3 linked regions of the Danio rerio genome follow. The protein of the gene in region 2 purifies or fractionates together with the protein of the main gene of each other region. This does not show direct contact. Links are inferred from orthologs where the notes say so. Each region holds a gene or a part of one and is shown on either strand. Other genes may lie near its edges. The genes, in order: hars, g6pd and hspb1.

Region 1 (3,655 bases), on a different chromosome or scaffold from region 2:
TGTATAATCCTTAATGTAATCCTCACGATGCCGTCAGCCGTGCAAGCGGCAGCTTTATGTAACATTTAACACAGCTCATGAAAAGACCGTTTTTGCTATTAAGATGACATGCAAATAATAAGTTATATTTCAATATAAATGTGCGGCGATCCCGGCTCAGCATCGTGAAGTTTGTTGGCCATCGGCGATTGACGATGACATTGTCTATCGGCACAACCCTAATGGCCATACAAAATAAATGCGCTATAAAATTACACATTACATTAACTTCCACAAACCAGGACTACTTGTTTATAGTTGCGTACTGACACTATGCAGTTGTGGTGATTTCAGCGATTATGAATTGCATATCGATTTTACAATCTTTATTAAAAACAGGAACTGTTTTAAAACTTGAGTTGCAGCTGATCACAGATAGTTGGAACAGATCTTTTCATCTCAATTTCTTTGTAAATCTTTTTCTGTCGACATGACTAGACGTGTCAATCAAGTGGCAGCATCCCGCTTTCTCTCATGAAGCTAATACGAAAGTGAAACTGCAAAAAATTTTAATTTTCTCTAGTACTGGCTCCATAATAAAGAAAATTTCTATTGACTCTAATGTAAAAATGGCCAAATTTACAGCAGAAAAACAGGTATTTACAGCCTGGTACAAAGAATGATTTTGGTTCATATAGCTAATATTACCCTTTATGACAACTGTGAGTGGGCTGATTTTTTTCAATAATTTTTTTTAATTTTTTTCGTTTTGTTTATATTAAGTTATATTAAGTCTGCATAAATAAGGGCATGGCCACTTAGTGACAGAGTGACAGCTAGGTCTTGGTGATCACCGTCATGTCCCCTTAGCTGATTCCGGCTGATTAGCTGCTGAACTCTGCATATACATCGTATTTTTGTTGTGTTTTATGTGGCTTTACACAGTCAGTTACTTTTTGGAATTATTTCCTACAATTATCAGATGATATGGCATGCTGTGTGCACCTAATTGCGCTCACAAACCATTCACGTGGCCTCCATTTCCCAGGTGAGTGAAATTATATACTTGTATACCATCTCTATAAATGTTTTTGTTTTAAGATCATTTATAATTTTCTTTAGACCTGTAATGCACTCCAGAATCTGACAGATTGATCAGCTGTAGGCTCTAGAACAGTCATCTGAAATGTTGTCATACAGTTTTATGCCTGGATTTCATAAATAGCCTTGCCTTTACTAACACAGACTATATCTGAAGTATTTAAAAGTAATTTGTGTTTTCTTCCTGTAGAAAAACATCATAAGAACAATGTTTAGTGGCTCAAAGTACTATAACAGTGTTTTTAAAAGACTAAACACTTTACTGCTCAGGTCAGAGGTCAGAACACAAACGAGCTGCAGGTAATGAAGTATTAAGAGTTTCTCCCAAAGACAAGCCCGTCTAAGCAAAATGCTAGCAGGCATCTCCACTGATGCTCCACATCTTTGCCCTTTTTTGGTAACCATGGTTAGCGCGATGACGTGCAAACAAAATGGTGCCTATATGTGGTTTCATTTGCACTCTTCAGAAACCTATGGGTGATGTCACGGATACTATGTTCATATGTTTAACAGCCTAAAGCAGGTCACACACCAAAAGTGCCGCTCGGCGGCGTGCCGCGCCATGCATTTTAGAATTCAAAACATAGGTTTCTATCAGGATACACACACCGGCGCTGCAAGTCGGCGGCTGTCGGCGGTGCCCGCCCACGACTCAGGACGCAGTTCATTTTCAGCCGCGCCACAGAGCACCATCTGATTAGTTTCATGTTAAATATCATTCGAATGTGCGCGTCTGGTGCGCGATACTTTAATCTGTCATGTGCGCGCCGTGGCGCGTGTCGTGGCGCTGAGCGGCGCTTTTGGTGTGCGACCTGCTTAAGGCTGAGACATGACAGTATGCGCCTGTCAATCAATTCGGTGGTCTGCAAAAAACGTGCAGCTGGCCTCAAAATGGCTGGCATTTGGATTATGATAAACCTAATAGGATATTAAAAGTGTATTTCTACCACTGTAATATGACTGTGAACCCACATCTGCACCAAAAAAGCTTCCTAAGGTTGATTTTTGCATTAAAAAAGGCTTCAAACATAATTTCAAATGGTAAAAATATCAAATCTTGCCTCTTCTCGACTGGCCACATTCCTCAGTTTGACGACGCCGTCTTTGAGCTCTTGCTCTCCTAAGATGGCCACGAGAGGAATGCCGGTGTCCTCACAGTGCTGCAGTTGACTCAGCAGCTTTGGGTTTTTCTTGTATAAAACTTCAGCCTGCAGTGGATAATACACATTGTAAGAGAACTTCAATACAACTGGAAATCCATTACGATTTACTTGTAATGTCATTCTGCCATATGCAAACCTTGATTCCAGCATTCCAGAGCTCAGCTGTGAGTTTTAGTCTCTCCTCTAGAAGGTTCTTCTGTGCTGAAGCCACAAGCACTTGAGTTTCAGTGGTGCGCACCTTCTCTGAAGACAGCTGGTGGACGGAATAGTGCATGTTGGCATTTTAATACCCTTCATATTAAAAACAAGGTGGCACAGTCCCTAAAATGTCATGTTAACCAATACAATGTAACCAGGGCTTTACATTAACTTTTTTGATCACCAGCCACTGTGGCTAGTAGATTTCCAACATTACTAGCCACTTGCCATTTTCACTAGCCACAATTTTGTTGCTTCAAAAATATATTTTGTATTAATAAATGTGTCTTTGACATGTTAAAATGACTTGATTTAGATGCTGTGTTGTCCACATGCCTCCTTATTTATTTCACTGTGTGTGTTGTGTATGAGCTTGCTCACTGTGCATGAGCAAATGGGTTGTCGCATTGCAATTGGTTTTTATTTCACATGACTTTTTTAGGGCTTAAAATTAAGGATTTACCAAATTTATCTCTGACCACACCAAAAAGGAATAATTATTTCTTAGCCACACATTTTAAATGTGTCAAAACAATCAAATATATAGCTGTATACATGCACTTTTTATTCAACAAAACATTTATTTTTTTACAAAATGTAAAAAGATCTATTGTCATGTTTCTAAAATATGCACAGTAATCTTTCCTGGCTAAAGGTCCCAGATCAGCGGTTACTACACATATATGGCGAGTTAATCTCATATTGAAGCAATGTTATTTTCAAAGGATTATAATTAAACTATATTAACAAAATAACTGTAAGCAAAAGAAAGCAGGTGAAACATACCACGAGTGATAATGAAAATATGATCACGTGCCGGAGAATAATTTAAACGAAAGCAGTGACTGCTGCTGCTGCTTACAAAAGGTTTGCTGCTTAAACGAGCATCGCTTTTTGTCTAGTCTATTTCAGAGAACCGATCGCATCAGTTGCGCTACCTCTACATGGTTGTTTCGCACAATTAAACGGGAACGCGCGCGCAGGCTTTTTAACAGTCGCGCGCATCCCATCACCTGTGCGTGCGAGTAATCATCCTCTCATAAGGTATTCACCTGCTTTTGCTCGCGCGAAAACAGTTATTTTTGTCAGTCGTGCTGCTTCCCGATTCTAAGATCACATTTGCACGCATATAGGGCAATCCTGTCGAACCCTGCTTTAAGAAAACTACAATGTAAACATTATTTGCAACCTGCCAAAGTGGCTAGTGGGAGTGG
Region 2 (4,267 bases):
CATGAAATAAAGAATTATGCAATAATAATAAAGTAATAAAGGAAAAATAAATAATTATTAAAATCATGCAGACATGTGTAACTATGCAACAAATAAGTTTTTGTGGCAAGGGCTGCTGGGGGAGAGTTGTGAGATGTTTACAAAGAGGACAGAAAAGTTCTGATTTCATGTCATTCTAGTAAAATGAAACAAAAATCTGGAAATTAATTTGTATACATGCGCACACAAACACACACACACACACACACACACACACACACACACACAAACACACGTACACACACACGCGCGCACACACGTACACGCGCACACACACAAATCCCCTTTCATTGTGCTTTTACAAATTCGTAGCTAAGGTGTGATGATGAGCATATGCATTTGTATCTATTCAGAAAATTTAATAGATTTCTAGAAATCTGCAGTCACTGTAAAAAAAAATGTTTAAATCTATTTGTGGTCCATAAGCAGATGCAAGGTGTGCAAAGTAAAAGAAAATTCATGACTGCATATGAAACTGTGTTAATTCCTCATTAAATGTGACGGATAAATCAAAATAATAAAGACTTACCGAAGCGCCCATGATGATGAAAATATGCACATCTGACTGGTGAAATGCGGTATCATCATGCAGTTCTTTCCTCAACTGCCCAAACACTTCTGAACGTGAGAGCGGAAGGCTCATCTTGTCTGCCAAGAGGTCAGAAAAAGATTAAACCACAGTCTCACAAAGCTCAAATGTTCATACAATCAGACACATTAATTCCAGTCACGAATTAAAAAGCATGTCCTTATCTTTGATAAATGTTAAATAAAAAAAAAAATGCTTTTAGCAGTGATAAATAGAAGCCTTGTGTTGGTAATGTCCTTTCATGGTTTATATTTTTAGCTCTCCTTCCTAGTAAAATAGTAAATAATTAAGAAATAAATAAAATCTTGTTTTACCATTTCATAGCAATTTGAGATTCTCTCCCCTTATTGGAGCTACAGTAATTAGGCTATATTATCAATATATGCAAAATCCACAATTAATGGTCTAAAAAAAAAAAATCTTCTACAGTATGAAAAGTGCTTCTGTTCCAAATAAGTACATTTTCTGAGACAATTAGGCAGATTTGTTTTTACAGATGGGATTTTTTTAACATAAACAAAACATGTTTTTACCAAAAACAAAACATGTTTTCACCAAAACAAAACATGTCATAATTTTGCTTCCAAAATAGATGTCTTGATTTAAGAATATTTAGATATTTGCAAGACAAAGGCAAAATACAGATCTGGAAAATACTTTCTCTAAGTGTTATCTAAAGGTACAGTAAAAGTTACATCCAGATTCTAGAGTTTGAGAGCAGTTACTCAAACCTTAAGCTCTTTTATTTTTGTTTATTTATTTATTTTTTTTTGTATGATCACCTGCTCCCTATGAATTTAAATCCCAAACAAACTCACAGAAACCATGGAATTATTTAAAGCAATAGTAGTTAACTAGAAATTGTTTAGATAGATATGAACGTACAAGGAAGTAACAGACATTACAAACTTTAGAAAGGCTAAAGCTGTTTTAAAATATGCCACAGATTCACACACAAAGTCTTTTAAGCGCGATTTAACCAATCTACACAACACGCACATACAATTGAGGTAAAGTTTGTTTTATGTTTGCATAATCAGACTTTCTCCTTAATATAATTTTAAAAAAGTATAAGTTTCTAATTATAAATAGTGAAATCATATTAGCAGCCAATTAATATCAAAGTACTTCATTGTTCCAAGTAAAATAAACAGTTTTAAAGTATTAAATATTAAGTAAATATTTTTTTCAAGTCTTACTTGCATGCAATTTTAGTCTGAATATTCAAGTACCATGGTAAACAATACAGGAAGTTGTCACTGAACAGATGTGCGAATATAAAACCAACTTTACCTCAGTACACATACACACATTAAAATAATAAAAGGTATTAATAAGAACAAGCAACACAATGTTCAGAAGTAAAACTGCAGACTTGTTAACAGATTTCTCTATATGTGGTACCTACAGTAGACTAACATCAAACACTTCAGAAAAACATTATTTGTAATTACTTGTTAAATATTTCATATTTATTCATTATTAATATATATTTGTTGTGTGTTTCACATGCAATAATATTGTTAATTATGGGACACTAGGCTTTAAAATATAGATATGTGTGAATTTAAAACCAACTTTACCTTAATAAACAACAGTAGCTAAAACTGCTCTAAGAGTAGTCCAGTAATTTATCACATCACACAACTACAGGATCTGCACAGGGATGATGACAAACACATATATCCTACCACTGTGTGTAGGGACTGTAGTATGTGCTCTCTCTGTGGCATACAAGAGAAAGTGCACATATAAACATCTTGTACACAAAAACACAACCTCCCACAGGCTGAACTTACCATAATGTTATTAGCACAATCCCTTATTTAACAGGGCTCAGCCTCGGCGACTGCAATAACAGCCTGCTAATGATTTTATGCAATGCATCACATTCAAAACAAGCATTCGGTTATTTGCAATTAAACCAAACATCAAATGCTATTAGATCAAGCCAAGTTGTGTTTAGAAATGTTAGTAGACAGAAGAACATATCCAGCAGAATCAAACGCATGACAACAACGTGCTACTTACATATCGTGTTCTTTACTAAACGGAACAAAAACACTGGGATTTAAAGGCTAAACGGATGTAACAGACTGAGATGTAACAATAAAGACTACAGAGGCATTTCTTTAAGACAGTTTCCTTCTTCCCTGTTCAAATGACACGGTGAGGCTCTGTGATTTTATTGGTGTAGAGAGAAACTCACCAGCGCTCGCTCGACTGCCCATCATTTCAGAAGGCTGGAGTAAACTGACGTCAGCGACGCGACGACGCTAGAGAAAAATTAAGGTGGGCGGAGACAACGTGTCAGAGGGCGGCGCTTGTGAACAACAACACATGTGCCACGGTGATTGACAGCTAAACGCTTTAATGGCAAACACGCTAAACTCTCATCAGTCCAATCAAAAGAGCGCGCATGCGGAATGTATAATGAGTGTTAGTCTTGCTGATAAGAGCTGGAAAAGAGTTCTGAGTGTCAGCATGACACTGCAGATAATAAAATAACAAAGTATAATTTCATACATTCAACATATTAACATTTATACTTTGTTTGAATAATGTTACCCTAAAGATTATGTTTATGTTATTTAAACAACTGCTGAGTAAGAGCAAGCAGCATTGAGTGTAAAAATAAATAACCAGTATATTTTTTAAACTTACCACCTTTGCGCCACCTAGTGCTGATGTATGGATCTGATATAGTTAATCATGTGTGCGTTTGTCTGTGTGGTCTGTGCATGGGGCGGATTTAGAAATCGTTTCAAAAGTTTTACAATATACTTTACATGTTATTATTAATATGCAAAATAATAATAATAATAATAAAAATGAAATATAAAAGGTGCATTTTAGAAGTTGGCGGTTCATTCTGCTGTGGGGACCTTGGATTAATAAAAGGACTAAGCCGACAAGAAAAATGAATGAATGATCCCCAAAATAATTAAAACCGCCCCTGTGTGTGTGTGTGTGTGTGTGTGTGTGTGTGTGTGTGTGTGTGTGTGTGTGTGTGTGTGTGCAACTCAACAAGCATGGAGAATAGTATAATAGTCATAGACAGACCATGTAGAAACAGGTGATTAATAATTTTATAAGTGTGAATACTAATGTAAATGTGATTTTTCAGGTGTTTTATCTCTAATAAATTTGCAACAATTTTAAAAATCGTTTTTCATATTGTCATTATGGGGTATTGTGTGTAGAACTTTGAGGAAATAAATCAATTGAATGAATTTTGAAGTAACATAGAAAAATGTGGAAAAAGTGAAGCACTATCAATACTTTCCAGAAGCACTGCATTTAACTGCTAGTTAAACAAGTACTTTATAGAAAACTGGCAAACAAATCTGTCAGTCTTCTTAATTTTGTGACTAGCTTCTTTTTGGCCCCACTGAAATTCAAAAACCTTTGCTACAAAATAAGATTACAGTTTCATTCTTCAGACAATATTTTGTACATAAAGAAATAAAGCTATTTTATCACACAACTTAAATGGTAACACTACATAAAAAGGTTGTATTAGTAAGTGTTAATGTATTTACTAACATGAACAAGGAATAATACATTATTACATCTTTCATATAAGAAAATACAGTTAGTGTTAGCTTGCAGTGCATTGATGTTAACAAGCACAAATTT
Region 3 (4,395 bases), on a different chromosome or scaffold from region 2:
CTAAGTGGAGAATTGCATTAAAAAAGATATGCTTCATTCCTTAAATGTATTAGATATTAAATAAATATGTTCTTGCAAAGTTCCAATTGTAACTTTTTTTTTTAATTAAATGATAAAAATATTTAGAAAAATAGTCAAACTTGTATTTATAGAGCATATATTTGCATAAATGCATGTTTAAGCAAAGAAATTAGCATTTTAAAGATTATATTTTACTGCTAATGTTTTATAGTAAGAGTATTAAAGAGATAGTTCACACAAAACCTTTTCAAACCTTTTAAATGTTCTTTCTTCTCGAACACAAATGAATATATTCTGAAGAGAGCTGAAAACCTGTAACCATTGACTTCCACAGTAGGAAAAACAAATGCTATGGAAGTCAATGGTTACAGGTTTCCAACATTCTTCAAAATATCTTCTTTTATGCCCAACAGAAAAAAGAAAGTCGAATAGGTTTAAAACAAGTGAGTGAATGATGAAACAGTTGTCATTTTTGGGTAAACTAAACATCCGAGCCTTAGGTTGAGGATGCAGATTTTTTTAGTGTATAGCTTTATCCTTGTTCAACTCTAAATATCCTGCAGATGCTGTTTTGAACTGTGCTTGGCTCCGGCGTCGTAATATCTCAGGAATTTAGCTGGCTGCTCTTGTCAGCTCCCACCCGACACAATACAAAAGGTCTCCCAGCAAGGCCTGTTATTCATGCATTTATTTCACACTTGACCACCTCTCTTCCTCACTCAAGCCTGTAATTGTGCACATAATAAAGCATGCTTTGGAAAACACAAAGTTGGATCAAATGTGGACAAACACAATCATTGGGGGGTGTCATTATTATTTTGAATAGCATTTTTAATCCAACATATTTTACAAGTCGTGATTAAAAGGTCTGACTAAGCCAAAAAAGACACTGTCATAAAGTCAAATATTGGGGAAAAAGTCATCATTTTAATATATGAAGTTAAAACTGCCAATTTAAATAATATCATAATTATGATACTAGATACAATATCGAAGACATTCTGTAAATAAGTGATAAACATTCATGACATTAAATTAAATACAAAATTATTAAAAGTTATATTTTTAATAATTTATTTTGATAAAAATTGCAATTTGGATATGAAATCAAATCGAGTCAAACAGAATCAAACGGAGTCAAACAGTCTCAAATAAAAACCAAACAAATAGTTAAAATTAAGATAGTATAAATTAAAATCAAATCAAATGTGTAATAAAATCTAAAGCAAATCAAATAGAATCATACCAAAACAAATGCAATCAAATCAAAACAAATTAAAATGATGTAAAATCAATGAAATAAAATTAAATTAAATGGATAATAAAATTAAATTTGAATCAAATCATACAGAATTAAAAAAAATAATAATAATAATATAATTTTTTAAAAAATCATAATAAATGAAATCAAATAAAAAAGATAATAAATTGAAATCAAACCAAATCAAATTCAATCAAACCAAACAGAATCAAATCAAAACAAAATGAAATAAAATAATATAAAATGAAATCAAACCAAATAAAATAAAATAGAATAAAACATAATAATACAAAATTTTGTAATAAAAAATAATAATCAAACAGAATCAAACCAAACGAAACGGAATCAAATCAAAAAGAATAAAATCAAATTAAAATAATATAAATAAAATGTAATCAAATGGACTCAAATCAAATCAAAAGAAAATAAAGCAAATCAAATGGATAATGAAATAAAATAAAAATCCAATTGAATCAAATCAATATAAATGGATAATAAAATAAAATGAAGTCAAACAGAATCAAACAGTTTCAAATAAAAACAAAACAAATCAAGTTAAAATAATATAAATTAGAATAAAATAAAATGGAATCAAATCAAACAGAAAAAAAACAAATCAAATGGAATCAAATCAAATCAAAACAAATTAAACTGATGAAAAATAAAATGGAATCAAATCAAACAGAATTAAAACAAAACAAAATTTAAATAATACATAGTAAAATAAAATAAATTAAATGATATTTAATTCAACAATCAAAACAAAACTAATTAAATGAATATAAAATAAATTAAAATGGAATCAAATCAAATCAAACAAAATTAAAACAAAACAAATAAAATTCAATTAAAATATAAATTGAAATTAAATTAAAAGCAATCAAATCAAACAGAATCAAATTAAAACAAAACAAATTAAAATAATATCAAATCAAATCAAATTAATAGTAAAATCAAATCAAACCGAATCAAACTAGATCAAACACAATCAAACCAAAACAAAACAAATAAAAAATAAAATCAAACAGAATTAAAACAAATCAAATTCAATTAAAACAATATAAATTAACATCAAATCAAATGGAACCAAATTAAATCAAATCAAAACAAAAAGATCAGAAAATCTAATTAAAATCAAATCAAAATGCAATCAAACCAAATAAACTCACCAGTGATCTCCAGCACCCCGTCTTTGGTTTTAACGTTCAGCTCCTCGGGGGAAAAGTGATTGACATCTAGGCTGATCTTCCAAGAGTCTCCGGTCTGCTTGACCTCCGACATCCCAGAGCTCAGCTGTCTAGAAAGGGCTCGTCCGTAACTCGGGGTCATCATAGGAGGCATCACAGGTGGGCCCTGCATTAAAGAAGCAAATTCGGGGTGTCCGAATGGTCGCATATACCCTGGCCAGTGCGTGCTGGGAAACGTCAACATCTCCTCAGATAAAGCAGGCATCCCGAAAGACTGATCGAACAGTCTGCTGCCCTGATACCAGTCCCGAAACGGGTCCCAGGACGGGCTGCGCATGAAGGAGAATGGGATGCGTCTCTCGGCCATTGCTGCAGAAGTTTTGAAGAGTTGTTTTTCGGCTCGGTTCAGAGTGTGTGTGTGTGTTCTGATTGTTTGCATGGGGCTGGGACTTTTATAAGAAGGCTTTCTGGAGGACACACCCACTTCAGGACACTTCTGCAACAGCCCAGTCCCGTCCGGATAATTATAGAAGTGACTAGAAAGTCTATTCAGGGACGGCCCTCGCATGAGGAAGGAATCTGAGGCAAAGGCTGATAGTGTGTATTTAATACTGGACTGTGAACAATATGTTGGTGAATTCAAGTTTTTTGTATTTTGTGACTTTTGAATTGCATTTTGGGAGCTTGATCTTTCTTTTAACAACTCTGAACCTTGACTTTTATTATTATTTTAGTTTAAAGTGATGTATTGTCTTGTATATTACGCTGCAAAAACCTTATAATAAACTGCCCTTATTACATTTTCTGTTATTTTACAGACTTATTTATCTTTATATTATTTTGTATTAATTATTCGAAATGTCTGAAACTGTAGAGCTGTGTGAAATAAATAAATAAATAAATATATATATATATATATATATATATATATATATATATATATATATATATATATATATATATATATATATATATATATATATAATTATTATTATTATTTTTTTTTACAGTATAGTAAAATACAGTTCACACCACAGTTAATACTGTATAATTTACAAAAATCGTTATGGTTTTTTACCGTAGCATTTTTAACCATTGAAATCATGGACTTTTTTTTTCAATGCAGAATTTTTATGTGTTTTATTTTTTACATTTTACATTTGAACAAAAACTTTGAGTTAGAATTGGCTAGTGGTATGAATAATTTAATGCTTGACTGTATATAAACACTTTTCACACACCCTGCCTGTATATTATATTATGTTATTATATAGCAAAACAAAACTAAATCAAACCAAAGCAAAAAACAAAACAAAAACAAAGGAAATCAAACCAAAACAAAATGCAAACCAAATCAAATTAAAAACAAAGCAAAGCAAAAGAAATGAAACAAAATCAACCAAAAACAAAATACAAAGTGAAAATCAACCAAAAACAAAATACAAAGTGAAAATCAACCAAAAACAAAATACAAAGTGAAAATCAACCAAAAACAAAATACAAAGTGAAAATCAACCAAAAACAAAATACAAAATACAAAGTGAATCAAATAAAATAAAATCAAAAACAAAGCTTAGCAAATCAAATGCAATAAAATCAAATTAAGGCAAATCAAATCAAAACCCAAAACAAATCAAACCAAAACAAAACAAATAAAACCAAAACAAAATTAAATCATATCAAATTAAATCAAATTTAATCAAATCAGGTCAAATCAAATTAAAACCCAAATCAAATCAAATCATATCAAAACCCAAAACAAATGAAAATAAAACCTAAAACAAATCAAAACCAAACATAACAAATCAAATCATATCAAATCTAAACCCAAAACAAATCAAAACAAAACAAACAAAATCAAAACAAGCAAAATCAAAACAAAAAACAAAAAAGCAGAGCAAACCTTTATTTATATTATACTTAATT

Evidence for each region.
Region 1: the proteins of g6pd (region 2) and hars fractionate together in Homo sapiens (co-fractionation; 3 studies listed by BioGRID). This does not show direct contact. The link is inferred for Danio rerio from reciprocal best matches to the Homo sapiens genes G6PD and HARS1.
Region 3: the proteins of g6pd (region 2) and hspb1 fractionate together in Homo sapiens (co-fractionation; 3 studies listed by BioGRID and IntAct, with this or other methods). This does not show direct contact. The link is inferred for Danio rerio from reciprocal best matches to the Homo sapiens genes G6PD and HSPB1.

What each region holds. Positions count from the first base shown.
Region 1 is NC_133189.1:7,931,170-7,934,824, reverse strand, and holds part of hars (histidine--tRNA ligase), read right to left. Parts: intron 2,497-3,655; coding exon 2,380-2,496; intron 2,289-2,379; coding exon 2,142-2,288; intron 1-2,141. UniProt on the Homo sapiens protein: Catalyzes the ATP-dependent ligation of histidine to the 3'-end of its cognate tRNA, via the formation of an aminoacyl-adenylate intermediate (His-AMP). Plays a role in axon guidance.
Region 2 is NC_133198.1:15,411,541-15,415,807, forward strand, and holds the start of g6pd (glucose-6-phosphate 1-dehydrogenase), read right to left. Parts: upstream 2,884-4,267; 5' UTR 2,863-2,883; coding exon 2,838-2,862; exon of another isoform or gene 2,675-2,837; coding exon of another isoform or gene 2,660-2,674; intron 2,494-2,659; exon of another isoform or gene 2,428-2,493; intron 2,353-2,427; coding exon 2,320-2,352; exon of another isoform or gene 2,212-2,319; intron 688-2,211; coding exon 569-687; intron 1-568. UniProt on the Homo sapiens protein: Catalyzes the rate-limiting step of the oxidative pentose-phosphate pathway, which represents a route for the dissimilation of carbohydrates besides glycolysis.
Region 3 is NC_133180.1:4,132,415-4,136,809, forward strand, and holds the start of hspb1 (heat shock protein beta-1), read right to left. Parts: upstream 2,901-4,395; 5' UTR 2,837-2,900; coding exon 2,452-2,836; intron 1-2,451. UniProt on the Homo sapiens protein: Small heat shock protein which functions as a molecular chaperone probably maintaining denatured proteins in a folding-competent state. Plays a role in stress resistance and actin organization.